Oryzias latipes: one gene and its partners. The protein of the gene in region 3 interacts with the protein of the main gene of each other region in a pairwise test. Links are inferred from orthologs where the notes say so. Each region holds a gene or a part of one and is shown on either strand. Other genes may lie near its edges. The genes, in order: zbtb16, tank, htt, trafd1, trip10, med31 and wac.

The links.
Region 1: the proteins of htt (region 3) and zbtb16 interact in binary tests that used the Homo sapiens proteins (3 or more experiments, as listed by UniProt). The link is inferred for Oryzias latipes from reciprocal best matches to the Homo sapiens genes HTT and ZBTB16.
Region 2: the proteins of htt (region 3) and tank interact in binary tests that used the Homo sapiens proteins (3 or more experiments, as listed by UniProt). The link is inferred for Oryzias latipes from reciprocal best matches to the Homo sapiens genes HTT and TANK.
Region 4: the proteins of htt (region 3) and trafd1 interact in binary tests that used the Homo sapiens proteins (3 or more experiments, as listed by UniProt). The link is inferred for Oryzias latipes from reciprocal best matches to the Homo sapiens genes HTT and TRAFD1.
Region 5: the proteins of htt (region 3) and trip10 interact in binary tests that used the Homo sapiens proteins (3 or more experiments, as listed by UniProt). The link is inferred for Oryzias latipes from reciprocal best matches to the Homo sapiens genes HTT and TRIP10.
Region 6: the proteins of htt (region 3) and med31 interact in binary tests that used the Homo sapiens proteins (3 or more experiments, as listed by UniProt). The link is inferred for Oryzias latipes from reciprocal best matches to the Homo sapiens genes HTT and MED31.
Region 7: the proteins of htt (region 3) and wac interact in binary tests that used the Homo sapiens proteins (3 or more experiments, as listed by UniProt). The link is inferred for Oryzias latipes from reciprocal best matches to the Homo sapiens genes HTT and WAC.

Annotation. Positions count from the first base shown.
Region 1 is NC_019872.2:25,466,726-25,470,823, reverse strand, and holds the start of zbtb16 (zinc finger and BTB domain-containing protein 16), read left to right. Parts: upstream 1-1,298; 5' UTR 1,299-1,705; coding exon 1,706-2,943; intron 2,944-4,098. UniProt on the Homo sapiens protein: Acts as a transcriptional repressor. Transcriptional repression may be mediated through recruitment of histone deacetylases to target promoters. May play a role in myeloid maturation and in the development and/or maintenance of other differentiated tissues.
Region 2 is NC_019879.2:20,997,517-21,001,621, reverse strand, and holds the start of tank (TRAF family member-associated NF-kappa-B activator), read right to left. Parts: upstream 2,801-4,105; 5' UTR 2,322-2,800; intron 1,948-2,321; 5' UTR 1,905-1,947; coding exon 1,806-1,904; intron 1,728-1,805; coding exon 1,619-1,727; intron 1,487-1,618; coding exon 1,416-1,486; intron 783-1,415; coding exon 724-782; intron 608-723; coding exon 489-607; intron 1-488.
Region 3 is NC_019859.2:35,201,256-35,205,417, forward strand, and holds the start of htt (huntingtin), read right to left. Parts: upstream 2,801-4,162; 5' UTR 2,524-2,800; coding exon 2,426-2,523; intron 1,517-2,425; coding exon 1,433-1,516; intron 1-1,432.
Region 4 is NC_019867.2:12,247,697-12,251,932, reverse strand, and holds the start of trafd1 (TRAF-type zinc finger domain-containing protein 1), read right to left. Parts: upstream 2,801-4,236; 5' UTR 2,589-2,800; intron 2,099-2,588; 5' UTR 2,085-2,098; coding exon 2,041-2,084; intron 1,949-2,040; coding exon 1,813-1,948; intron 836-1,812; coding exon 782-835; intron 622-781; coding exon 183-621; intron 37-182; coding exon 1-36. UniProt on the Homo sapiens protein: Negative feedback regulator that controls excessive innate immune responses. Regulates both Toll-like receptor 4 (TLR4) and DDX58/RIG1-like helicases (RLH) pathways.
Region 5 is NC_019866.2:8,490,394-8,493,893, forward strand, and holds part of trip10 (cdc42-interacting protein 4), read left to right. Parts: intron 1-1,152; coding exon 1,153-1,317; intron 1,318-1,563; coding exon 1,564-1,587; intron 1,588-3,398; coding exon 3,399-3,500. UniProt on the Homo sapiens protein: Required for translocation of GLUT4 to the plasma membrane in response to insulin signaling. Required to coordinate membrane tubulation with reorganization of the actin cytoskeleton during endocytosis.
Region 6 is NC_019872.2:23,702,807-23,706,779, reverse strand, and holds the start of med31 (mediator of RNA polymerase II transcription subunit 31), read right to left. Parts: upstream 2,801-3,973; 5' UTR 2,618-2,800; coding exon 2,608-2,617; intron 993-2,607; coding exon 918-992; intron 1-917. UniProt on the Homo sapiens protein: Component of the Mediator complex, a coactivator involved in the regulated transcription of nearly all RNA polymerase II-dependent genes.
Region 7 is NC_019878.2:7,916,008-7,918,559, reverse strand, and holds the end of wac (WW domain-containing adapter protein with coiled-coil), read left to right. Parts: intron 1-257; coding exon 258-450; intron 451-526; coding exon 527-654; intron 655-740; coding exon 741-810; 3' UTR 811-2,052; downstream 2,053-2,552.

The DNA of each region.
Region 1 (4,098 bases), on a different chromosome or scaffold from region 3:
CACATATTGACCCCTCAATTCTCAATCAAACCTGTAGATTAGATTTCAAGAGGTCTATGAGGCGTCTTGGCGTGAATTATTATTAATATTATAAATATGAAACTTTCCTGTGGAAGTTTGGGAGAATGTTCTTCATATTAATGAGCAGATCAAGAGGAAAAAGCCAAATGAGCTGCCAAATCTTGTAATTGGTCATAGAACTGGATAAATGAGGCCATCAATGGGCTCAGGCAGAATGTGGGTCAGTGGATGGATTTAACTCTTTCTACTCTGTGCCCTCTTTTTTTATTTCCATAAAATAAATGAAATAAATCTGTGTTTTGTTGGTCATCTTAGGTGCATGCTGGTGACCGGATCTTAATTTAACCAGGCTTTCATTATGGGTCAAACAGGTTTCAGGAATGAGGTGGAGCAACATGTTGCCCTGTTAGCTTGAATTATAAAATGTACCCACAGACACCCATTCATTCAGGATTTTCAACATTTGCAAGCACAGGCGCTCTCTGGGGCCGTGTTGTGGGTTTTTGCCTCATCTTGCTGTCTTTTTCGCCCATTTTTTGGCCACTGCTCTCCTGCTCCTGTCTGTGATGAGAATACTGAGTAAGATGCTATTTGAGGCTGCTGACGGTCTTTGTGAACCCAGACGCAGTGAGAGCCTACAATTCAGCCTTGTTTAACTGGTGTATATCCCCATCAGATAAGCAAATGAAGACATCTCTTTAACATAACATATGCTGGACCTATTGGTATGCAGGATGAGCCTGTTGGACAGCTAACAAATTGTCTCTCTTCAGAAAATCCAATCAGTGCCGTCTGCTAATATAAGAACGCCACTAAGTATTCTTCCCCATTCATGTGTTTGTAATTGAAGCCTGCAGAAGTCTGATATTAAACACTTTTTTAGAAGAAATGTTCCTCTTTAAAGACGCACTCTGATGAAAATTGTGTTTTTCTTGTCATATTTTTCTGATGATGGACATGTATAAAGAAAATTAAGCTCAAAATTGCATTTCTTAGTATTTATTTATCCAAATTGTTGTGAATCTGGAGCAGACAATAAATGCAGTTTGAAAAAGAGCTTACCGGTATTTGTTATATAGAAAATACGCCGAGCCACAAGCTCCCTGTTCCGCTCCACTCTGATGCATCCACTTGCAGATGCATCCACTAGATGTACGTCTAGCTCCGAGCTGGCACCGGGCTCAAAAGTGTACAGCCATGTAGCTCCTATGTTAATCAGTGTATTTGTTGCTCAGGTAATGGTAGGTTGGGGTTTTGAGGGGTAGTAAGCTAGCGGGAGAGCATGTTGTGACACAGATGAGTGACAGGAAGTGGGGGTTGGGTTGCTCCATGCCAAAATTTCTAATGAAGAGGTGAATTTCTAATAAAATACAGCCGCTTTGCAGAAACTGTCCTAGACAACAACATAAATCAAATCAAACCATTTTTTTATATAGCACTTTTTAAATATAACACAACACAAAGTGCTTCACACAATTTTTTTATACATATATAAAAACAAGCAGAATATTGAAATAAAGGACAATATACATTTTTGGAATTGTAAATAAAAAAATGTTTCCACCGTTGACATTTCTCTTTTTTTTTCCATCCAGGTTTGACTTTGTTTACAAAAACAGCTAAAATCTCTGCTGAGCGGGGAAAGCGAGCCTCATGAGTCGGCCTGGCAGGTTACATCAATATCATGGATTTAACTAAAATGGGTATGATCCAGCTCCAGAACCCCAACCATCCCACTGCCCTGCTGCAGAAGGCCAACCAGATGCGTTTGGCTGGGACTCTGTGCGATGTGGTCATCATGGTCGACAGCCAGGAGTTTCACGCTCACCGGACTGTGCTTGCCTGCACCAGCAAAATGTTTGAGATCCTCTTCCACCGCAGCAGCCAGCATTATACCCTGGACTTTCTTTCACCAAAGACTTTTCAGCAGATTTTGGAGTATGCTTACACTGCCACTCTTCAAGCCAAGGTGGAGGACTTGGATGACCTTCTGTATGCAGCCGAGATCCTGGAGATTGAATACTTGGAGGAGCAATGCCTCAAGATCCTGGAAACCATCCAGTCCTCAGATGAGAATGATGTGGATGTCAACGCTAATGATGGGAGCACAGAAGACGATGAGGAGCGCAAAGGCCAAAATGGAGCGAAGAACTCCAAAAAGCATTCCCTGGAGACTCCCAACCTGTCAGGAGCTCAGCAAGCCTCCAACATGCCTGGCATGGTTGACCAGAGTCCCTCTGTCTCCACCTCCTACAGTGTTTCCAACCTGAGTCCCACCAAAGCCGCTGTGGACAGTCTGATGAGCATCGGCCAGTCTCTGCTCCAGCAGGGCTTTGGTGGTGAGCAACCCGTCCACATTAATTCCCACCACCTGATGACCGACATCAAGACTGAGATGATGCAGGTGGACATGAGTGGCAATGGACATGACAGTCCTCAGAATATGGAGTCCAGCGTCTCGAGCAACGGAGAGCGAAGCGGAGAGGACAGGAACCGAGATGGTCCCGGAACGCCAACGAGGAGCAGCGTGATCACCAGCGCTCGAGAACTGCATTATATCCGTGATGACAACATGGGCGACCAGCAAGCCGAAGTCAGCCAGATGGGGCTGGAAGCAATGGCAGGAATGACTGAGAAACACCTGGCCTCACTATATTCGCTTCCTGTCAATCATAAATCCGATGCCATGATGTCCATGCCGGTGTCCATGGCTTCTGGTCTCCCCATGTCCCCTGCCCTGGCGATGTCCATGGACTTCAGTGCGTATGGGGGGCTGCTGCCGCAAAGCTTCATCCAGAGAGAGTTCTTCAGCAAGCTCGGGGAGCTGGCAGTGGGGATGAAACCGGACGGCAGGAACCAGCATGAACGTTGTAATGTTTGCGGCGCAGAGCTACCAGATAATGAAGCCGTGGAGCAGCACAGGTAAGCTTCCTTCCCTCTCCAGTCTGTCTCCTTTGTCTTTGAGTTTATCCCATTTCAAAACTCATATAGGTGCATCTTCTGCATTTTGATTTTAAAATTACACACTTTTACATAATTGACGATTTCAATGGTTTTATAAACATATTGTCACTTTTTAGGCTTAAACTATTTAAAATGGGTGAAGCGGTTTTCTTTTGTTCTACTTGATCGACTTTAACAACAATTGACCCAATCCTTTTATGTTTCTGTTTTATTGCACTTGCATGAGTTCCATTTACAGTCACATAAAGCCCAGTTTTGTGCAGTCGCCAGCTCAGAACCGGAGATTTACTCCTTTAGTAGCTGCCAAGCTTGCCCAGGTGACTGCTGAAGCAATGCTGTCTTAACATTGTCCAAGACCATTAGTCACACCTTCCAAGATGTGGGCGGCAGCTATCACACACACTTACCAATGTGGAGCTCCCTCATCCAGGACCCTGCTCCCCTCCCTTTTCCCATAACTGCACAAGGGGGGCCCTTATTAGCTTGATAATTGGAGTAGACGGTCAGCTCAGGAAATGAGTGCTGAACCCGAGACAAGGAGGTAGTTCTAGGACAGGAGAGTGGCAGCTGCGCAGCACTGTTTCAGTCGCTGCATATAAATAAAGCTTTAAGGCTGAGTAATTTTACAACACATTCAGAAAACCTCCTATTGATCACAGAGCAGCAGTAGTCTCCTACCTTTTTTTACTTTTTCAGACTACGGACCGCTTTATTGTCAGACAATATTTTCACGGACGTATAAGGCCAAAGTGGCCATCCGTTTATTTTATTTGTGTGGGTAAAGTTTATCTTTACCCTCTGTAAAATGTCTGCAGCTGCTTTAAACTTTGTTTGTAAACTAGATTTTATGAAGGAACCATCCACATGTGATTTAGATTTACCTTTAACCCATAACTGTCAAAGTGGAAGCTAAGAATGGAAGCTAACTTCAGCTTTGTCTGACTTTTAAGGTGCAATGAATTTAAAAAACAAAAAGGGAAAGCGGTCACAAAAACTGGTATTATCTAAATACCATAATTATATATTATATATTAATATAATTAATGTGAATACACCATTAAAACAACTTTATTTGCAGCATCCTCAGAAGATTAGACAGCCAGTTAATGAATA
Region 2 (4,105 bases), on a different chromosome or scaffold from region 3:
AAACATCATTATCATGTGGCACGTCCTAGCTGGTTGAGACATTCAATTATTCATACAAGGAAAACTGACCCTTCCATATAAATGGAATTTAAGCAGACCAGCAGGTAAATAGCTGAAGCAGAATTGTGGCCCAGAGATGGAGTTACAACCATCTCTGCATTTATTACTAAGGGAGGAAACAAAGTCAACTTAGAAATGTTGCAAGAAACAACTTTTAGGATCAACTTAAAAGCTAAAATGTGTGTTTTTTTGGATTCTTTAACAACGTCCTGTTGTGCATGAAAAATAAATCATTTATGACGCAGAATTAACATTTTTGTGCAAATATTACAGCTGTTTTTCCAAGTTATTTTATTTTTAAGGGTCAAATTTCATTGAAAAATCCTCATTTACTCTTCAGGTGGTAGTTTCTAAATGATCCTCAACCAAACGTCAAAAACCAATCTGTTTAGAATCAGGATGGGGGGGAAAAGAAGGACAAATGTTACCGTTTGACGCCTCGCTTCCTCCATGGAATCTTTTCAGGTGGTCTTTTTGCCTTCTGGTGAGAGACCGGATCTGTCGGAATTTGCCTTGAACGGCCTCAAATGCTTCGAGCATCTCCTGACTGGATGATAAGATCAGTGCAATAAACCAGTCATTATTAAGTGTCAATTGTTCAAATTGCATGTAAGTGATTGGTGAAAAATAGAGGGAAAAAGGTTTGCAGAAATTGGCACATACTAATCAACGCTGCCGCTGACTGGTAAATTAGGAGCAACAGCTACAGAGCCAATTTTCTCCTGGAAAAAAAGACACAGGCAACTGTAGTGGTCATTAACAGCAATTATCTGAGGTCGAACTGGTGATACATGTGCACTTTAACCATACATCATAAGCATGAAAGCTTTTCCTGTAGACTGCACAGAAAAAAGCAACAAAAAAAAGCTGATGCTGCAGAGCTGAAGGGTGAAATTATCCTCTAGCACCATCTGGTGAAGTAAAGCAGACACACTCTCTCTGGTTTACAAAAGTACAGCAGGTCACATCAAAGCCAATAAAAACAAATGACCTCAGCATGCTGGAGACTGGAAAACTCCAGATTATTTCCTTCTTTATGCTTTTTTTACTATCATAAACAGCTCGTGTGCTTCTGCCGCAATATCCGTGAGGTAATCGCTTGAAAAAAGTTACCTACAGTACGATCCCAGACAATACAAGAGCGATTAAAAAGTAATAATCACCGATGTATCATAACTCACAGAAACCACTGCAGTAACTGGACATTTCCCGTAACAATCTTTTGCATAGAATCAGGAAATTTAAGCAGAAGTACTTGACGCTTCTAAGTCAGAGAGAGGAAGCTTGTCATTTACTGGATGGACATCCTTCATTTCATGAGGAGGTGGAAAAAGATAATGCAACCCGAAACATACCGGGAACTGCACTGTTTTGTAAGTGCTGGCCCCTTCCAGGAGTTGGTTGCAAGGCTCACATTTCATCTCTCCTAAGGGTCAAATGGAGCAAGAAAATGGGGTGTTAGCTGGATGATATAGACCAAGTAGAAATTTTGGTTACTTGTGTCTTTAAGGGGGACTTGGGAAAAATAGACCCAAAGTTTACATGGAGAAGCACTAACCTGAGGGCTGCCTCATTGCTGAGAGTTTAGCTGTAAGTTCAGAGATCTGCCTCTGCTGGTCCTCTATCTTCTTTTGAAGTCCTTGAGTGTATCGCTCGTAATATTCTGACTGCAAACGCAATCAAATGTGTTATTCTTCTGGGAAAGAGTCAATTGAAGCAAATACAAGCGTATCGGTCGCTCCTACCATTTTCTGTAACTCCTTTTTAGCATTGTCCTTTTCGATGGAGACCTGGCGATAAGCTTCAAAAGCTTTGTTGAGCTGGTCCCCAATGTTCCTATCCATGCCGCGTGCCCCAGGATCATCACTGACACAGCAGACATGAGCCCTACGGGTAGCCCACAGGGGGGGAAAAGTCACAGTTTCTACCATAAAAAGAGCATTGAACCTCTTTAAATAAAACAATATCAAGAATACCAAAGCATTTCAGAATGCCTTTATCTGACACTAAAATATTAATAATTATTTAAAAAACAAAAAACTATAGCAAAATTATGGAATTTCTTGACTAGAGATCAATTTTGTAATAACATCTGTAATACACTTAAAAATGTAAGGAAGTGTGTCCCTTTTTAAACATCTAGGTCAACTGTTAAAATGCAGCAAAATGTTGACAAATCCTCAAAGGCGTAGTTTTTGTGAACAACACACAACTACAGAGTAACTAATAGTGTTCTTACAGAAAAGCAGCTCCACACTTACTGTTGCAACAGACGTTTTGAGCGGCTGCATTACAAAACTGAGGAGGATGAGGCAGTCTTCCTTATGAGCTCTTCATCAATTATTCAGGCGACGTCCATAATTGTGAGTCCCACTCATCTGCCAGGGACGCCTCACCACAGCAGCAGCAGCAGCACCCAAGTCCTCCCGAGGAAGAGGAGGTTCACTTCAAAGTGTCATGAAAAAGTTCTCCGGGTAGTAGTTCCGTGTTCTTCGAACTGACAGCTACACTGGGAATGGAGGCACCCCAAAAAACCAACAAGGCGAGTGAAAAACGGCCAGAACGAGCCTTCCTTTACCTTCATTCGAGTTGCTTTTTGAAGTTTGTTGTTTTGACACCACCGCAGCGGCGCCGCTTAACACTGAGATGCAAAGTTAGCGAGCGCTAGAGAGGATATGGCACACTGTGTTTTACATAGCCCTTTGGAGTTGGGAACTTCCCTCGGGGAATCCCCTGCTCTGTGGACTTCCGCCTTCACGCGGCTCCAGCCAATCAGCGGGCGTCTCGGAGAGGCGCAGGGTGGTTAGATGGTTGAGGGTTCTTCCAGCCTACGCGTCTGCAAACTGGCTGCATGTGAAAACTCTCCTCAAACTCGACTTCTCTTGTGCTCATTATTCTCCACAAACTTTTTTCTTATATAACCTCATAAACACTTTTTTTTTCCTTTTTTGCAAAACATTACATTATCTGTTTATTACAATCAGCACGTCCTTTATTGTTTCCTCCCTTAGCAAAACACTGAAGTTTATTTTATTAAGTATGCTTTAGTATAAGTATGGCAAGTATACTATAGACTATGCAGTGTAGGAAGTAAACTAACTGAATATTTCTGAAGAATACTAAATTGCAACATTCTAAGCTTACAATATATAGATATATATTGTGGAATATGCGTTTATGGACCTCTTTTTGCTAAGGGCTACCACAGAAAAAGTGTGTATCAATGTGAAGTGCATACAACTGTCAGCAAATTTATAAAATAAACAGACAAAGTGATTACATTTGTTTCTAAAGTGCAGTCTCTAGAACAAATAAAATCGAAAGGTTTAATGCACTTTTTTCTTATATAACCTCATAAACATTTTTAGTCGCAAAACATTATATTTTGTTTATTACAGTGAGCATGCCCTTTTTGTTTCACCCCTTAGCCAAAAGTGGTACACTTGAAGAGTATTTTGTTAAGTATACTTGTGTGTAAGTATAGCAAGTGAACTATAAACCATGTAGTATAGGAAGTGAAGTAACTCTCTGAATACTAAAGTTTACATTATATAAATAGTCTATAAAAAGTAAATTTCAAGTATTCTGCTTCACTACTTGTAGTACACTTACATAGATAACTATTTGCCAAGGGATAACACAGAAAAAGTGCATATAAATGTCTGCTAATCTAGAAATAAATTGTATAGAACTCTCTATCAGTTGAGGCGACCGTATTGCAGAGGTAGAGTGGTCAACCCTTGATCAAAAGATCGCAGGTTTGGTTCCCACCTTGCCCAACCATGTGTCAAAGTTTCCGAACCCCAGCTGCCATCAGCGTGGGAATGTGTATGGGACTGTGACTGTCGAAGCCCTATGGAGTTTAAAAGAAGGTAGTAGTGCGCCATATAAGTATATGCCATTTGTCATTTATTCCAATTGTAGCTAAAGTGGAGCCTCTATGACAAATATGCACATAAACACTAAAGTTTTAATGCACTTTTTTCCAGAAACAATGCCTTATAAACATGTTTTACTTAAAAATGGTTACAGATTGTAAGAAAAT
Region 3 (4,162 bases):
ATTCATATCTAGGGGGAATTGGACCTGAAATATCAGATATCACATCGGGCAACTATACATTAGGACGTAAACACTGTCCATGACGATAACCGCGGTGATGACTCATCACCTTGTTCTGTTTTTTTGTTGAAAGTTCTGCACATGGTGGGGATTTGTACTATAATAAAACACAAGCATCCTTGCTAATAATTTACTTTTTCTGTGAGTCCTGTGTTCAAACTTCAGGGCTTCTGGGGGAATTTCCATTGTATTTATTTCCATTACAAGCAGCGTGCGTTCTTTATAGCGCGATGCGGCCGCCCACCGGAGGATGTTGTGTCGGGGGGGGGGGGGGGGGGGGGTCGCAAGAGTCCCGACACCGCGACTCTTGGTGCTTCATCACTGCGGTGATCAAAAATCCCACACTGTCACAGCTCTACTCCAAACAGTGACGCGGCAGCAACATGGTAATAAGAGCACTAACAGGGCTGGTTTATAAAAACATACATAAGTCACTGAGAGAGAGAAAAAAAAGTCACTGAGAGCAGCAGTAACTTATAGGCGCGTTTCTGCACGGCACACGCCTCCTGTGCACTGAAACCATGCGCTGTCCTCTCTGTCACGCAGCAGAGCGGCTTTTCCAAACCCGTTGGTGATGGTGGATTTTTTTACACTACTTTTAACGATTGCTTTGACCTTGAAAGCTGCTCATATGGATTTCTTCTTGCGTTTTCCATGATGAGGGTCTGTTCGTGCTATTCATTCACAAAGCAGGAATTTACATTAAAATTGCGTCTTCCTGGACACATACAACGCGTTCTCCTGTCTCACTCTTACCCTTTCTGCTCGAGCGCCCCCTAGCGGTCATTAGAAAAAATGCATAAATTAGCCGCATAACTGAATAAGCCGCAGGGTTGAAAGTGGAAATTACGGGTACTTTTATTTTTCATTATTTAGTTACATGTGTAAGTTACATCTGGCCCTTTGAGGACAGCCACTATGCTGATGTGGCCCTCGGTGAAAATGAGTTTGACAGCCCTGGACTAGAGTATACTTGTTTCAGGTAAAGTGTGGCACACTGAAAAAATGATCTGGAGTCTTTGAAGAGGACTCGATCTTGACTCGGAGCAGATTAGCGTCCTTATGGGATGAGCATTAGGGAGGAGAGCTAGCAGAACCAAAAAGCAGGAAATACTGAGGAAATAAAACCCTGCAATGCTCCACTGTCAAAAGTAAAACAGCCATTAAAATTGCCTGTCCTTAGAAATCAAAGTTGAAAGTAAAAAATAAAGCACTTTTCTAAGAATTAACAAAAAGTCTTCAGTTATTTGTCCTTCTGAGGCCTAAACAGGACTAACAACACGAAATATTTGACTGAAATGTTTCAAAACTCCCTTGAACTTTACGTTGGTTTGAATTTTCACACACGTCAGACAGACATGTTCCTTCCTACCTCAGTGACTGGGCAATAATGTTTTCACATATTGTCAGGCAGTGGGTCACTCTGTCTTTTTTTGTCGTAGCTTGCTCCTTTTTCCTGGGAAGGAAACAGCAGATGAGGAGAATGCAGGTCAAAAGGGCAAAAGTCGGGTTTTCAACACAGAAAAGACTCCAACCGGAGCCGTCACTCAAACTCTGCCATCATTTAACGTTTTCTGACACTAAAATAAAAACCTCAGTGAATAATTTCATGGCCTGCAACTGACAGCGACCTACAACCTTCCAGCGATCTCTGCTCTACTTACGACTGACTACCTGGGATCAGGTGTGTTCAAAAGAAGAACCAAGAGCGGGGGCTGCTGGGAAAAATGCCCAGAAACTTGGACGGACGTTCCAACAGCTTTCAGCCCAAAGGTTAGCAAACAGTTCTGCCAACATCAAAGATGAAGGCCTTTCGGTGAGTTATGGTTCCTCTCCTCTTTAGGGTGGAGGGTTCTTAGACTCTAATAACCTCACTTTTCAGCTGGTCTGACCACAGTTTAGCGACTTGTCGCCTTTTCAGAGGAGCTGTGGCCCCCAGAAGACAGCAGCGTCCACAGAAGTTAGTTGCTTCGCATGGAGGCGCGTCTGTTTCAATGCAGATCTGAAACGAGTCACGCGTGTCCGATGTTTCTCAGCACACGGACGCCTCCAGATAGTCGGAGCTGACATGACCAAAAGGTAGAAACACACATGCAGCAGCTTCCCTGGATTCGTGGACGAGTTCTCATTCCTGACAGGTGAGTCCAGATCTGAGTCTGTCGGAACAGATCTGGACTCATGTGAGGCTGAGCAGCCGAGGGAAGCCTGCCTCTCTGCGTTTGAGCACCTAAAGCCGACCTTAAATCCGTGTCCAGGCGCCCTTTGCACTGAAGCACGACTACAGAGAGGATGTCAAATCCCGGTTTGCTGCCTGCTTGCAGCGGAGCTAAGCTAGGCTAAAGCCGTTAGCGGAGGGGCTACTCACTGTTTCTGGACAAGTTCCTCGGCCGTCGGCGGTCCCTGCTGTTGTTGGAACGACTTTAGACTCTCAAAGGCCTTCATAAGTTTCTCCATGGTAGCCATTTTCGTTATTTACAATGAGAGTGCTTTCTCCACAAGCTAATATTTACTATCTGCGCTATAAGCTAGCACAGCACTGACAGCCAGAGAATAATATGCAGCGTGACGAGCGGCTACCACACGCCCCCCGCGCCTCTTACTGCCAAAAGTCCCTCAATTTCTTCTAGTTTTGTCACAAAATGAAGTGAAAGCGGGTTTAAAATATGCCATCTTTTGATGCAACGACGTTTTCCTCCGACCAATCACACCAGGAAGTGGTATTTGCGAAAGCTTCGCTGAAACAGGAAGGGTGCAAAGTCAGCAACCAATCAATCTCGGAGTTGTTTTGATTGACAGGACCAACAGCCAATTGGCAGCTGCTTTAGTTTCCCCCCTCCTTTTCTGTGTTTTGCTGTTGCTGTCACGGGACCACTGACGTCACAGACTGCAACATCATTTTGTCATTGGTTTTAGGCACAATATTATCTGGTAAAATACAATTATAATAGTTTAAATTAGCTGAACCTAACAAGGAGCGATAAAAGAAAAAATCTCTGAACAGTGTACATTTAAATAGTCAGATAAGAAAACAATTATTTTGACTTGATTTCTTTATTTTTAAAGAATGTTACTTAATCAACCTAAAAAAATCAGCAAAAAGTTTTTTTCAATATAACAAGACCAGACCAATCCCTTTAAAATATCAAAACATGCTTGAAAATGAGTATTTGCAGTTCACTTTTTGACAAAGATTTAAAGAAAATTTTTATTTAGCTAGAAACACACATATATAAAACAAGAACATTGATAAAAGTCATCCAAGTTTTTCCATTATTATCTGTCATATCATCTTTATCATCATAACCAATAATAACAATTAAAACTACACTTTAGTATTGTCCATATTATCACCACTATAATGCTGTCATTATTATAATAATGTTCTGATTTTGTTTAATTAGTTTATTTATTTATTTTGTTTTTATTAAATTGTCTGATGCTTGGACATTGTTTTGTATCTAGTTTGCTCCAAATTTGTATTTCTGAAACTTTAATGCAACACATTTTAATGCTTTTGTTTTGGCTGAGGTTGTTTGTCAAACAGCTGAGCAAACAGCTGTGTTGTGTTTGACACATTACTGTTACAGCAGGGGGCTACGAATCGTTTGATACACAAGGTATATTTGAATAAACCCCTTTTGTGGTTTAGACAGAGGGATGTTGGGTGGTGTAGGTGTAGATGTAAATGTTAGTCTAAAAGGGGCGGGGCCTGTCCACACACACACACTCAAATGTCACAAACCTACCTGTTGGCTCGAAAAATCTTCACATACAGTGGGATGAAGGGTATTTGTACTAAAGGGTGCAGTTAAAATTGGCGGGTAGGGCACTGTGAGGACATGTCCTGCTTGCCCCTCCCTATCAGGGGATCCTACATGGTTGGTTGGTTGAGGGTTTCGGTGCCAACAATTAGGATTTTGTTTTATCTTTTTAAAAATCAGATAGCGTCATGGGCTGAGAACAGATATTGAGCATTATTTCAAGTTTATATTGAGTGAGGTACATAAGATCTTTTTATGTTTTTTACAGTTTTATCTATACATTAAGTATTTTTCTTTTGCCAGTGTGTTAAACGTGAGCATTAATTCACAAATATAGTCAT
Region 4 (4,236 bases), on a different chromosome or scaffold from region 3:
CATTGTTGCTGCTTCCATGCAGGAAATCACTGTGACCTACAATTAACCGAAAATGTTATCCCATCCATTTTAGGAAATCAGATTTTACTAGTGCAAGAATGAGTTCAATATCTAAATTAAATGTTCTAGACATAATGTTGATGGCCTCATCTCACGACACATAAAGCAAACATTGCACTCACAGTGGCTAAACCCTGTGTTTTGAGGTGCAGCATTCTTCCAGTCTCTTGAAGCCTGCGTTTCTCTCGCTGTGTTGAACATTGAAGGATTAAATGCAGGAGGAAAGGACTGTTGAGCTGACGCACCAATGTTATTATTTTTCGGACTCCTTTCTTGGGGTCTGAGGAGGTTTCGAATGGAGTGAGCTTCAAACCATGCATCGGAAGACTCTCGCTCTGCTGCGGTGCGGCTCATCCTGCTGTTGTTCTTCTCTTGAGGTGGTGTGAGGCTTCCACATAAGGCTGGATGTACAACCTGTTCACGCAGCATCACATTGCACTTGCAGAGTGGACAAGGCTCAGTCCGTGTACCACAATAGTCCTCATGCTCCTTAGACTGAGAAAAAGCAAGCTCCAGATCACAGTACGGGCAGGACACCAGTCGCTGTGGGCATTCAGAATTCTGCAAGAAACAAATAACAGGAACATTTAAATAAAATAACAACATAGCTGAAAAATATTCTGTACTTTTACTCAAAACAGTCTTTTTAGACAAGAATTTGCATATTATTCATTGGTTATTCTTTGCATGGATAAAAAGGCATCTTTGTTCCTGACCATACCTGATGAACATCGACATGATTTTTCTCAACTTTCATTCCACATTTGCATGTAATCTGGAAAAAAAAGGAGTTTACATTGAAAACTTTAAAGAGTTTCACTTTGCAATAATTTCTCTAAGAGCAAACTTTAGTTGATATCATTGGTGGGTGCAGCGGAAAATATCTGTTTCAAAATTTAAGCTTAAAGTCCCGCTTCAATCATCTTTTGATCTATTTCAGAAGTGTTTTCAGTGGCCTTATAGTTATAAGCATGTAATTTTTAGCCAAAATCGAAAATTATTTATTTATTATTTTTTCTAGGACGTAGTTTCTGTAGTAGTGCATTCGAAATTTGCTTCTGAGTTGATGAAGGAATTCTGCGGCAGAACAAGTCAGCCCCCACTTCCGTATATAAGCCATCTGTTTAAAAGCTATTAGCCCTCACACATCCAACCTAACATTACTGGTGGAACAAAAATGGCCAGCAATATTGGAGCCATCCAGCTGTTTTGACCCAAATGCCAACCTTGGACGAGGAAAACAAAGACATACGTGGATCTGTGTGTCTACATGTGGATGCATCGGAATGGAGCAGAGCATGGAGCTGGTGGCTTGCTGCAGTAGGTCCTACATTACAACAAGCCTTTTTTTTTCTGCTCCTGATTCGCAAGGATTTGAATAAAGAAAAATACCCAGAAAGGCAGTTTTAAGCTTAATTTTATTTATATGTGTCATCCATCAAGAGAAAAATCCTACAGGAACGTGTTTAAAGTACGATTTTCATTTGAGTGCATCTTAAAGTTACAATTAGTGGATTTATGAGGATTTACCTGCAGCACAGTGGTAAGTTTACCTGAATGAAATGCATTGCCCCACCCTCCCTATTATTTTAGACTTTGGATGACACTCAATATTTTCAAAGTCCCATTAGAATCAGGGGGAAATGACCATCCCAATCGCGCTTCATCTGGAAGATCCTCCCCAAAATCACTGGATAAAGAGCCAATGGCCCCGCATCCGTGTACATGCTGGTGTTAAGTTCAGATATCTACCTCCGTGTGTTCTTGCAGCTTGTGCTCCTCGAGGTCGGATCGGGGTACGGGCTCCTGGCACACGTCACACAGTGCTATGTTTCTGCGACAGTGAATCTCGTGGGTGGTGAAATTGGCCTCTGGGATGTCACGTTTACTTAAAAACAAAAAACAACAACAATAGAAGGGGCTGCTAGCCACCAAGAAGAACTGCATTAGAAACTCGCGTCACAATAAATTCATACTTACCAGTTGCCACAATACATGATGGTGTTTTCGTCGTCTGCCATCATGACTTCAGAAAAACCTTTAACAAATAGCCATAAACATAAAACAGAAAGGGACATTCATCTTTGCTCCAACGAGCTGGACATTTTATCTTCTTCTGGGTTTTAACATTTATTTTAGTAGTGTAGCTGTAACCGTATAAGTTATAACATTTTGTTATTATATCATAGGGCTAGGCTAGGCTTAGGGTTTGTTTAAAGAGCGGCTATCGTTTTGGAAAAAATGAAACCAATCGAGAACCGTTTCACTTAGCCCTTCTTATGGTTTACAGGAAGACAGTAAATATTTTATTCCGAAGAACACCGAACACGAACCTTAACCAAAAATGGGGTTTGGACGACTTGAGTTAAATAGAAAATACAATGTTTTGTCTGTATTGGGCTAGCTAGCGTAGCATTATGATTACCTAACTAAATCCATCTACAGTTTACGAACATCTCGTCATACAGCTAATGTTACGATAGATTTTGTGTATAACGAAAATTCATAATAGTAGTTTCTTATTTTACCTTTTGTCAGTTGGATATTTTCACTTGATAAAGATGAAAACCAGTCTAAACTGTCATTTCCTCTTCCTTCGTCTGGCCTTCTCCCTCCTAATCTCCTCCCCGGGTAAAGGCTTACAGGCACAGACTTTTTCAGAATGTCTAAATACGGTTTACACGTATTCTCGCTCTCAATCACAGAGTAAACGAGTCATCGGTTTTATGAGTAACACAAAGCTGTAACCAAAATCTAAAGGTTTTTTTTTCCCGCAAGACACAAGTCAGGGCATAAATTAACACAAGGTGAATACTCAAAATTGATTGGTGATTTAAAGATCCTGCGTAATGCTTTATCCTACATCCAACATCGCAAGTATCTTCAATATGCTTTTTTTTTATTCGTGTTTTTCCGCTACAAATTAATTTTAAATGGTGCATTCTTGAGTCAAATTCTCAAAATTTACACTTTTATGGAGTTTACTATTATGTATTATATATAATGTTGATAGACATTGCATAGAACTACGAGAAAGAAAAACATGACATGAATTTTAAAAGACATGATTCCCCACTGTATTGTCTAATATGTTTTATTGAAATTTTGATTCACCAATAATGTCATGTCGGACAATTTATTGTAAGGCACAGTTCTGTTAAGATAAAACACTGATTATATGTACAGCAAATATTTGAATGTGTTGTAGAAATCCTACAAACTTCAACTCAAAGACAAGACAAATATTGTAAAAACAATGGAAATTTGCTTCCAAGCCCTTTTTCTTGCAAGATTTCAGAGGTAAAGTCACCACTTTACAATTTGATAATAAGATGTAACAGAACATTTAAAACATGCTGTAAAAAGAAATACAGAATAAAAGAAAACTGAGTAAATGACAAACCTTTTGAATATTCTGTAAAAAGAAAGAATACTTGAGATTTTAACTAGTGCCCTAAAAGAAGAAAACGATTTAAACATGTGCTCAAACTGTTAGTTTTGCCGTCCATGTTTAGGTTTAAAAAACACTTTCTCTAAAGAATGCATGATGAAGCCCACGTCTTAGTTCTTTGTGATGCATTTAATCCATTAGCAAAATAATTCTCTGATAAAAGTTTAGGTCCAACTTTTGCAGATCACACTCTGGAAAACATTCGGCAAGAGCATTAGCTGCACAGGGACAAACGTGTGTCTGTACACAATGAATCATCACCGTAGAAATCAAATAAAACGACATTACTGATCATTCTGTTTGCATGATTGTTTCTACCATATCGATCCCCTCTATATCTCCGTCAAAGAGGCATTATAAGCTGCTGATATGAACTAAAAAAAAATGGAAAAAAAAGACAAATGTAACTTTGTATGCTGTCTCATATTTTAGCATTTTTAGAAAATGTGCAAAACAATATTGTGAAGCTAAATCAAAACAGCTACTCCCTGCCTTATTTGTGGCCTTCTTGTTGTTGATGACTCGCTGCATCTCTTTATATTGAATTGTGAAGCGTGGAAATATTACAAGAACCATAAAAGTAGATTTATCTTGTAGGTTTATACACTAAACTCCTGTTCAGATTTCCGCCTACCTTCGTTTTTGTGCTCTTACAAGCTTACTACCTTTTTTGAAAGCCTTCCTGTTGCACTTCCTTGTACGTAAGGAGGACATTTGGTCATTCG
Region 5 (3,500 bases), on a different chromosome or scaffold from region 3:
TAATTGACAAGTAGCTCATGTGTTTTATTACGTAACACATGTAGATTTAAATGCTAAACATATATATTATATAATATATATGTATATTTGTTACCATATTTAAAATGATACTAATGTTTACATTTGGAAATATTTAAAATTACTGTGAAATGTAGGTATGAGCATGAAATTTGAAAATGGTCTTGATAAAAGACATTCCTGTAACTTTATATAAACCACAAACAACCTCTGTTTTCCAACCATATAGGAATTACTTATATCTTGGATTTGTAAAAAATACTTAAAGGAGCCTTTTCCTTTTATTAATGTGTATAAGTATAAATGTAAATAACACAGGTAGGCAAATTTGATACTGTGTATTAGTCTTACAAATTTAGTGAGGCAATGCAAAATATTAGACTGACAGCCGAAAACCTGCTGCACACAGGTTCAGCATTTATCACTTTTTTTTCTCTTTTTCTTTTAAATGTCAGAGATTTCATATGTTTTTATTATTTCGGTCTTTTTTTTCCATCCTCCTGGGAAATTTCCTTGTATGCATTGTTGTTTGGTAGGAACTCGTTCCAGTTGCCTTTTGGGCAGCAGGAAGGAAACACAAGTTTGTGACACAAACATGAACTATTCAGGGAGCGCTACACCATCAGACACAAGCAAGCTCTTGTAATGGAAAGCAGAGTATGATGGCCTGATTTATATTTAGTCTTGAAAATAAAATAGGACATAAAAAGAAAGAAATAGTTGACCTTCTTAACTTATCTCAAAGTATACGTCAAGTCAAAAATTACCTGAAACAGATTTTGTTGCCATGAAACTGTAGTTATTGTATTTTTGGAATAAAAGTGTAGGGAGAATTAGGTGACTTGGTCTGGATTGGCCTAATTTTTTTCTTGTTTTGTTCAACATGTTGCTTAGAAGAGCCAGAGATGTGTGTTTGTTCTTTCATGCTGCTGTGGCTCATGTGCTGGGTTTGTTGCAGTATTGTCCCAGGCACTGTGGTGCACTGAGGTGTTGACAGTGTCTTTTTCTTTCCCCTTGTTACCCTGTTGTTTTTTTTGTCCCCCCCCCCCCATTTCTCTGCTGCCCCTCTCCTCCTCCTCTGACCTATGCCTGCATACCTTACTCTCGGGTGCTGGTACTTTTGGTCTTGCTCAGTTCTCTTCCTCCACACTCACTCCTTTCTCCACACCACCAACCCCCTCACCCTCTAATGGATCAACTTCCCCCAAGTTTGGCCGGGACCCCCTGTCGTACTGTTTGAAGGAGATCAATAAGACAGTCAAACCCAGAATCTCTTCATTCCGGACACTCAGGAGATCGGTGAGTGACAAGGAGGTGATCAGGGTTCCCGGAGACCTCGCCTCCTGTGCTCGGGTGTCAATTTGGCCTCTGCAAGGATCACTGAATTCTTTAGATGACATTTTCCACGAATTGGTCTTAAACCATGTAGAGCTTATGGCAGAAATATGCATTAAAGTAAAGAAAACTATAATTATAGGCTGGTCACAACTTCTGGTGTAAGATTGTTCCATACATGTGCTGTTTTGTTTGTTTTTTCCCCCTCAGAAAGTGACTCCAGAGAAGGCCTTGGTAATGTGGACAGAAAAAAAAACTGGTGTGGGGGTTTCATTTGTTCAAAACACAAAAATGGCCACTTTTCCTTTACACAGCCCCCCCCCCCCCTTTTTTTTTTGAAGACCTAGTACCTCAGAATAACTGTCCAGTTCTGTAATGAAAAGGTGGCCATCTGGTGGCGGAAGAGGGGACTGAAACTTGTTCATGGAGTTTTATTCTTTCCATAATTATTTAACACGTGCAAAATGAGACCTCCACTTGCAAGCAAGTAATTTTTGCATATGCAAGCAACATTTGTTCATATTTACATTAAGCAGAGCAGGATATTTTTCTTCTTTGGAAATGCTTGTATAAAAAAAGATTTGTGTATGCAAAAAATATTGTGAGACTGTGTGAAAAAGACATACAGATGGAAGAAATTTTGTCTGGTAAAATTTGGTCAGGTTTTCATAATGGCACATCCACACACAAGTATTTTCTATGAGTGCGTGCAAAGAAATACAAATGCAAGTTTCAACGTCTGACTTTTGACACATTTAATCTAAAAATATCCACTAATCAGCACTTTTCTCCTGTCTACAGATTGAAAAATGTTAAACGTATGAATTAAAATAGATTAAACAAAACATAGTGAAATTGAAATGGCTCATTCTTTAGTTTAAGGTTACCGATCTCTGCAGAGAAATTTGTGAAAACATAATTTAGTTTTGGAAAAATAAAAGCCATTTAAATTATTCAAAATCAACTTTTTGGTTCTACTAAAGCAGATAGAGAAATTTTCCACGCCCAATAACAATTTTCCAGAAGGAAAATTGAGTAACATGAAACAGTTGACAGTCAGGGGTGGAGCTACAGGAGGGCTAGGGACCTCTGCCCCCATTAGCAAAAAGCTTTGCCCCCTCAATTTCTGGGTCAATATTAGTATCATCATTATTTAAATCACCAATACAAGCTTCTTTAAGAATTAGTAGTGGCATCTCGACTAAAATAACTGCTTTTTTAATGTTATTAACAAACATTTTTGACTTTCATTTGTAATGGCCTTCCACTCTACTGTTCTCATTTGCCACACTTCCAAGGTCATCTGCCCCCTTCCACTGTTCACAGTGACAGAGATAGACCAAGTCTCAGCTTTAGAAAATTGACTACAAGAAAAAAAAAGAAGAAAAAATTTGTTTTCATTAATTCGTGAAATGTTTTAAAATCTGATTAACCAGTATATGGTGGTGTGCTGATTGGCTGTGGTCAGCAGAGAGGTGCTGATTGGTGGATTAGTTTAGCTCGATTCATATCAAAAGTCAGAGGTTATAGGGTTCATTTATATGTTTGAAGTGTGAAAAACAATTTTTTTTTTTTTTTTACAAGAGGACAAGTATGTAAAAAGCACAAAAATATTCTGCATTTGTTCTTCTTTTTTCTTTGCAAATGAATACATTTAGTTTGCGGTTGCAACAAAAACATAATGCATGTGTGGATATCATAATACAACCATAAAATAATTATTAAGGGATTTAACTCCATGCTTGCTGACATCAAAAATGAGTTGAGATTGTGCACTAAGATTTTTATTTTTACTCTGCCAAAGATAACGGGACTTAGTGTTGCTGTTGTGGGTTGGGCTTTACATTCAACCTTTATGATTCATGGGTGGCTGTTTTGTCTTCAGCTCAGTAACACCTTGAGTTTTAAATTTAAAGTTTGAGTTGATCTGAAACCACTTGGTGTGTTTCTTCTCCTCAAATGTGTGGTTTTTGGCCTTTTCTTGGGAAAATGTCGAATGTAGGCCGGAGTTCATGTTAACCCACCCTTCCTGTGACCTCTTCCAGCCGACAGTGACTGAAGACTTTGGCCACTTACCTCCAGAGCAGCGTAGGAAGAGGTTACAACAGAAGTTTGAAGAAATCTGCAAAGAGTTGCAAAAGGAAGTG
Region 6 (3,973 bases), on a different chromosome or scaffold from region 3:
GTAGCTTACAGTTAACAATAAAGTAAGAAAGGCTGAATTAATACTTTAAAAAAAAAAACAACTCCCAGGAAGGATCCGGGTCGTGTCTTTCACACCAAAGAGCCGACTTTAAGGTTGTTTCACTTGCTACTGACACATCAGTACACGAGTCTCTGCTCTGCTGCTCACCTGCTGCTCCTCAGGGATAACAAGACTCCTTGCAGGATCTCTTTTTGTCTTTTTCATCTTTGAGCCAGTTTGGAAAGCAAAGCGACTGCAGCAATGAGGGGATGTCTGTACTTTGACCGATCCCCCATGCTGCTATGTGCCAGTAATTCCGTCTTTTTTTATAATTAGTCTCTGTTTCATTTCAATTAACAGAGAAAAAGTCAAAGCCTGCAAAATCTAAGTAACAAAGTAACAAGGGTTTCTATAGTCCAGTAACTGTAATTCATTACAGAATATGAGCTGTAATTTGTTATGTTCTACCGTTACTGACAAAAGTAATTAAATTACAGTAATTTGTTACTTTGTAATCCATTACCCCAACACTGAGCAACATACAGAAGTGAGGATATTTATCAGTTTAAACAAACACATTTCTGTCTTTAATGAAGAAAGGTCAGGAAAAAAAAAAAAAAAAAACTAAATGAGTAAAATAGGTGAATCTGATCTTTAATGTGATACATAATATGGAAAAACATGAAAATTGGAGTAATATTTTTGGCTTTTCAGAGCTTTTTGTTCCTTCTTTTCATTGGGCAGTCATAAAAACAGGTTTTCATGGAATATTCGTGTTGAGGCCTTGCAGGGCTTCAGATTATTGAAGGATTTCAAGCCTCCAACCAAACGAACTTCCAGTTAAGGAATGTAGTTTCTGGCTTCACTTTTCAGGGAAGTTAAAGAACAAATGTTAAAGAAAAGATGAAGAGACTTACAGTTCAGGTAGTACGGATTTGCCAAACACTGCACAAACTCCAGCTCGGCCTGGAAGCGGTGCCGGGCCTGCTCATCTGGACCAGAAAAGACAGCATCACACAAAAGTAAAAAACACTGCGAATTCTGAAACAATAAGCAGTTTGGGCCTGACGACCTGCTGCAGTTATTATTATTATTATTTTTTTGCTGCTCTGATATTTCCATGATTCGTGTGTTATGCTAACACTGTAAATGAGTTTTATTTCCCCAAACACATTTCCTGTGTTAGACCAGTGGACTGGGTGATAAGTTAGAAACTATATAAGCGCGACGCAAGAACTGGTTTATTGTCAGACTACATTTTCACAAACGAGCCTCTGAGGTTCGGCTACTAAATACAACCAAACAAAAAGATGCGACCGACAAAAACGTCTGACTAAAGTAAATGTGAGTTCAACCAGTACACAATTTTACTAGCAGTGTCCTGAAAACCTTAGAGGGTCAGTCACCGCACAGTGAGTGCGGGAACAACTGTCACCAGAAATCTATGTTTTGAGTAGAACTCCTGGTTCCATGTTGGGGTGGAATCTCAGTCATTCAGGTCATGATAAAATGAAAAGTTCCAAAAGTATTCAACTGGACAAAGTTTCTGGTTTGAAGACGTTTCGCCTCTCACCCGAGCAGTTTCTTCAGTTCTGTCCAACTGGTGCTGAGCTAGAGATTTACATCCTCCTCGCTGGAGTCCTTTGATGGCCAACCAAACCCCCCAGTGACTGATTCGTTGACCCCTGTGTCCCGGTTGTGTCTATCTCTTCCTTTTCCTCACTGACGGTGCTTTCTGCCCAGAGAAACCTTTAAGAGGGCCTGACGCTTGTTTGTGTAATATTCAATAGAATGAGGGTTTTTATTTAGCGTTGTAGTAATGTGCGTTAGCAGCTGAAGGTGGGTAAAATGCCTGACTGAGGCAAACATCAAGCGTCACAGACAGATGTGGAGCAGTGGACGTCGTTTTTCAAAATAAAACCTTCATAAACACCTGATTAACAGAAAAAAGGAAGAGTGGTACCGATATGGAGCTGGAGACCACTGTCCCCGGTGAATCATTGAGTTAATGGGGTAGTTAAGGTAGTATGTCTGATAAAATCTCACATTTACAAAGTTATTCAAACCTGATAGAGCTTTATTAAACCCACGTGAACTAGTGTGTTGTCCTTATGTCGGTCTTTGGTTTATTTATTGGTTAAAGAGAGTTAGCAGTTTGCTAAAATTAGCCCAACGTTTTTGAAATTATGAATTATATGCAGTCTGAAGATCTTACTTATTCCTGCTCAAGCGACCTGTACTAGTATGTCGGGGTTTACTTTGGCTTCTTTATGAAAAATGTGTCAAGATGGACGAGCTTCATATTCTATCTTTTTAAACTTTCTCATAAATGTCATATTACTTATTTTACGGACTACAGCGAAAAAATCCCCGCGTTAATCGCCGACATTATTAATTTATTATTTACGAAAAATTTTCGGCTTGTTGTACGCACGAACTCAGGTTAATAAAAGCATCAACACAGCTTTAAGTCTTTTACAAAAGTTAGAAATACACAGTTTCTCAAATGTCAAATAAAAACACAAGAATAATGAAGACATTCATCATCCTCCCATATAGTTAGACTTAGAAGAACCAAAGCTAACAAAAATAGGTTTAGCTACAAACCTGTTTCCATGGTATCGACCCGAACAGTAACTATTTACTGTCCACAAACTGAGCAGGGCTTCCAGAAAGAGCAGAAAATCCTTATATGTGTTTAAATGTTTAACAAATCTTCAGTCCAGCTGCTTTTGTTTAGCTTTCATCAGCCGTAAGTGAACTACTCGGGCAAAACCACTTCCGACTTTGCGACACCTGCTATCTACTTTACGGCTTTTTTTCTTTTGCAACAAAACTTTGTTGTTCAGCACACGGACAACAAAAACTGAGACAGAAAATACCCAACACAAATAAAAAATACTTGTTAATCATACTTTTGGTTATATAGTGTTTGAAGTCTGAAGAAATAAACATTAAATGTCATCATGAAACAGAAATAATTTGAACAGTGAATAAAAAACGTCCATGTTTATTTGAGTCTTTGTTATTTATTGGAAAAACACAGAAATTAAATGATCAAAAAGCAGTAAACGGAAAATGTTTTGTTATTTTTCATCCAGTCTGATGTTAATGTTTTTCTCTGAACACTGAAAAATATGAGAATATGCAAAAACTTTAGGTAATCAAAATGTTTCACACTTGATTCATAGGATTTCTGATCTTGTAGTTCAGCATCTGGCCGTATGATTGCTGTATGAATGATTGTGGCGCTCCATGTATGTATGTATGATTGTGGCCCATGTGTGATTGTGGCGCTCCACAATCTTACTAGGCTGTGCTTTTCCTGCCAGCATCTTACACCCTGCAGTTATGTGCTGGATTGTTTCAGGCGCCTCTTTGCACAGCCTACACCTTGGGTCTTGTCTGGTGTGGTAGATCTGAGCCTCCATTGCTCTGGTGTTCAGGGTTTGTTCCTGGGCTGCCAGGATGAGTGCTTCAGTGCTGTCCTGTAGGCCAGCCCTTTCTAGCCATTGGTAGCACTTCTTGATATCAGCAGCTTCAGTTATGGTCCGGTTTGTCCTCCCATGAGGATTTGTCCTCTAGCACTGCATCCCTCTCCGTTGCCTGAGACATTCACTGAACACACTGTCAGTTGGGGCCTTGAGTTTGATGTATTTGTGTGCAGCAGGAAGAAAGAAATAAGAAAGTGCACTCGCTGTAGTTAAACACAGTGACGTATGCTTCAGAGGACGTTCAATTGGCTGTTCTGCATGTCAATCAAGTGACATCTTTCCTGCCGAGGATGATGATTCACTGACAGATTTTTAAAAAATATATTTTGATATTTATTTCTTATTTTTGATGACCTGCAATCTACAGTTCCATCCTTCGTGATCGACATAATGAGCACCCCTGACCTAAAGGATTTGAATGTGGACCATAAAATAACACTCTTTACATGTTTGAGTGATAAAGTTTTATTATCAACAAG
Region 7 (2,552 bases), on a different chromosome or scaffold from region 3:
CTCCATGTCTCATTTTAGTGGAACCCACATAAAATCCAGTGTACTAATAAAGTTTAAAGCAGCTGCAGATATTGGACTTGCATCAAGAATAAGTTGGATGTAGTGGAGAGAATCCAGTAGTTTTCCAAAGTAAAACTTCCTTCAGAATCAGAATATAAATAAAACGGCAGAACTGTGGGTTGTGGGTTTTTTCCTCCGTTTCAAAGCTTCTGCAGAAACATCTTGTATGACTGCATGTTTTTTTCCCCTCCATGTAGCAGTCAGAGGAGTCCGTCTCCAGGTTCCAACCACGTCGCCTCCAGCAGCAACGCCCCCAACTCCGCCTCCGCTCCCCCGGCCTCTTCTACATCCCGGCCCTCCTGTTCCTTCACCCCCTCCCTTGCGGCCCATTTCAATGAGAGCCTCATCAAGCATGTGCAGGGCTGGCCCGCAGAACACGTGGAGAAGCAGGTCAGTGTCCACCGCACACCTCCCCTCCCTCCTTCTTGGCTCCGCCCCATTTAAGTTTGCCTCCGTCTCCCCAAAGGCGTCCAGACTCCGCGAGGAGGCTCACACCATGGGCAGCATATGCATGTCGGAGAACTGCACTGAGCTCAAAAACCTGCGCTCCCTCGTCCGGGTCTGTGAAATTCAGGCGACGTTGCGCGAGCAGAGGTGAGTCGTCCGCACGCTTTCTGTTGCTGCGTCCAAACCCCCCCATCTCACTCCTGCTCTCTGTTCTTCTGCCCCCTCCCTTACAGGATATTGTTTTTGAGACAGCAAATCAAAGAACTTGAAAAGTTGAAGAACCAGAATTCCTTCATGGTGTGAGAACTTTTGGTGGGGGGTTTGGGGGGGTGTCCGGAGGTTGTGGGGAGCGGGGTTGTCATTGCACATACTAGGAAGCCGGCAAGAAAAACGGTTCCTCCCGAACCCAGTCTTAACACACGGGAGCTGCAGTCCTGCTGGCAGACCACAGGGGGGCGACAAGGAGCTGCTGGTGTGGTGGGTGGGGTCAGGGAGGGGCTGATTTACAAGACTGTGTTTTTGTAAAAAAAAAAAAAAAAAAACCACGGTGGATTAACATGTAGATTTCTTGTAGATGTTATCTATGTTGTAAATATGTTTTGTAGATTGAATCCATGGAAAGCCATGCCTATCAAAGCTTTTGACATCCAGACTAATCAGCCGAGGCGCCAGCCTCTCCGTCACTCATCTGCAGACTTCCGTTGTCACGTCACGGATCATTGAAGCGCCGTGCCCAACGTGAACGGAGGAGCTGGCCTCACCGGGGTCATCGGTTTGACCTTTTTAGATCCTCTCCCACCTGTGGGTGTGGGCGGAGGCCTCCTCCGTGCAGGTGTTCTGTAAACGCTCACAGCGCTTCAGTGATCCGTCAGCAGTTTCTGGCGCCCCACTTTGAGGAGGACGGGTGACGAAAAGACAGTTCCTGGTGGTGCAATGGATTCCAAACGAGGAGCGTGCTGCTTTGGACCATTCCTTCACCCTCAGCAGACCTCTTTGGAGTTGAACTCCTTTCTTTCCGTTTTGTTCCCTTTTGTTCGTCAGCTCTGCACGCTGACTGTCTTCATTCCTTTGTACCGTCGCTAACAGCAGCGGGGTTTTAGAGAAGGCCAGCTTTCACGTGTGGGTTGCAGTAATAAGCCATGCATCACCCGTCAGGAGCTCAAAAGCGGGTGGAGGTGGGGCGCCTCTCCGGTCGAACGCAGGGCAACCAGGGGTCAAAGCTCAAATGTGAAATGTATGTAATGTAATAAACATGTTAAACTAAAGTGAGCGCTGAGTGTTTTGTTGGAGTGTCTGCTTTGGTTTATATGCTAGTGCCTTGTTGAAAGTCTTAAGCCTCATCACCCGCAGGTCCATGTTTGCTGTCATCCCGCCGGATCAAAAGGCCCAGATTTAGTCAATATCCTTTAGCTCCTCCCCCATATTCATCACTGTCAGCTGCTGCTTTATGCCCACCAACACAACATTTAGTTGAGCTGACCATGTCATTGCTTTGTATAATGTTTCCTGAAATATATTGACAAAAAATAAAGGATGCCTCTCCAAGGCAGTGTTGTGTTCAATGCTCCTTTGAGCTTCAGCTCATTTTGTTTTTTTCTTGTTTGTGAGAAAATGACTAAAGCCTGAAGCTACGTTCACAGCGTCCTCGGCAACGCACTTTCAATGAAAAGTCTGTGTAAGCGTGCATTTTGAGCTTCCGCGTTCAAAACTATCATGTTCGTGAATAGCTACATACGTTTCTACTGCCGTTTTTGGGTTCTTTGTTTAAAACATGGCCATGGAATGTGCGCTTTAACCCTTGTGCTATCTTAGATGACCCCACCCTTACATTGACGTGTTCTCCCTACCATGTCAAAGGTGTATAAAGGTGGAAAGATTTCATGTAATCCATGGACACCATTGAAGTTCACAAATCATTGAAGAAAAAAGGTTTGGCGCACTGTCTTGTGGGTCTAGATGACCCAACTCCCAACGTTAAAGTGCCTAGGATAGCACAAGGGTTACAGTGAAACCACAATGACCAATTTGGTGGTGACGAATGGAGG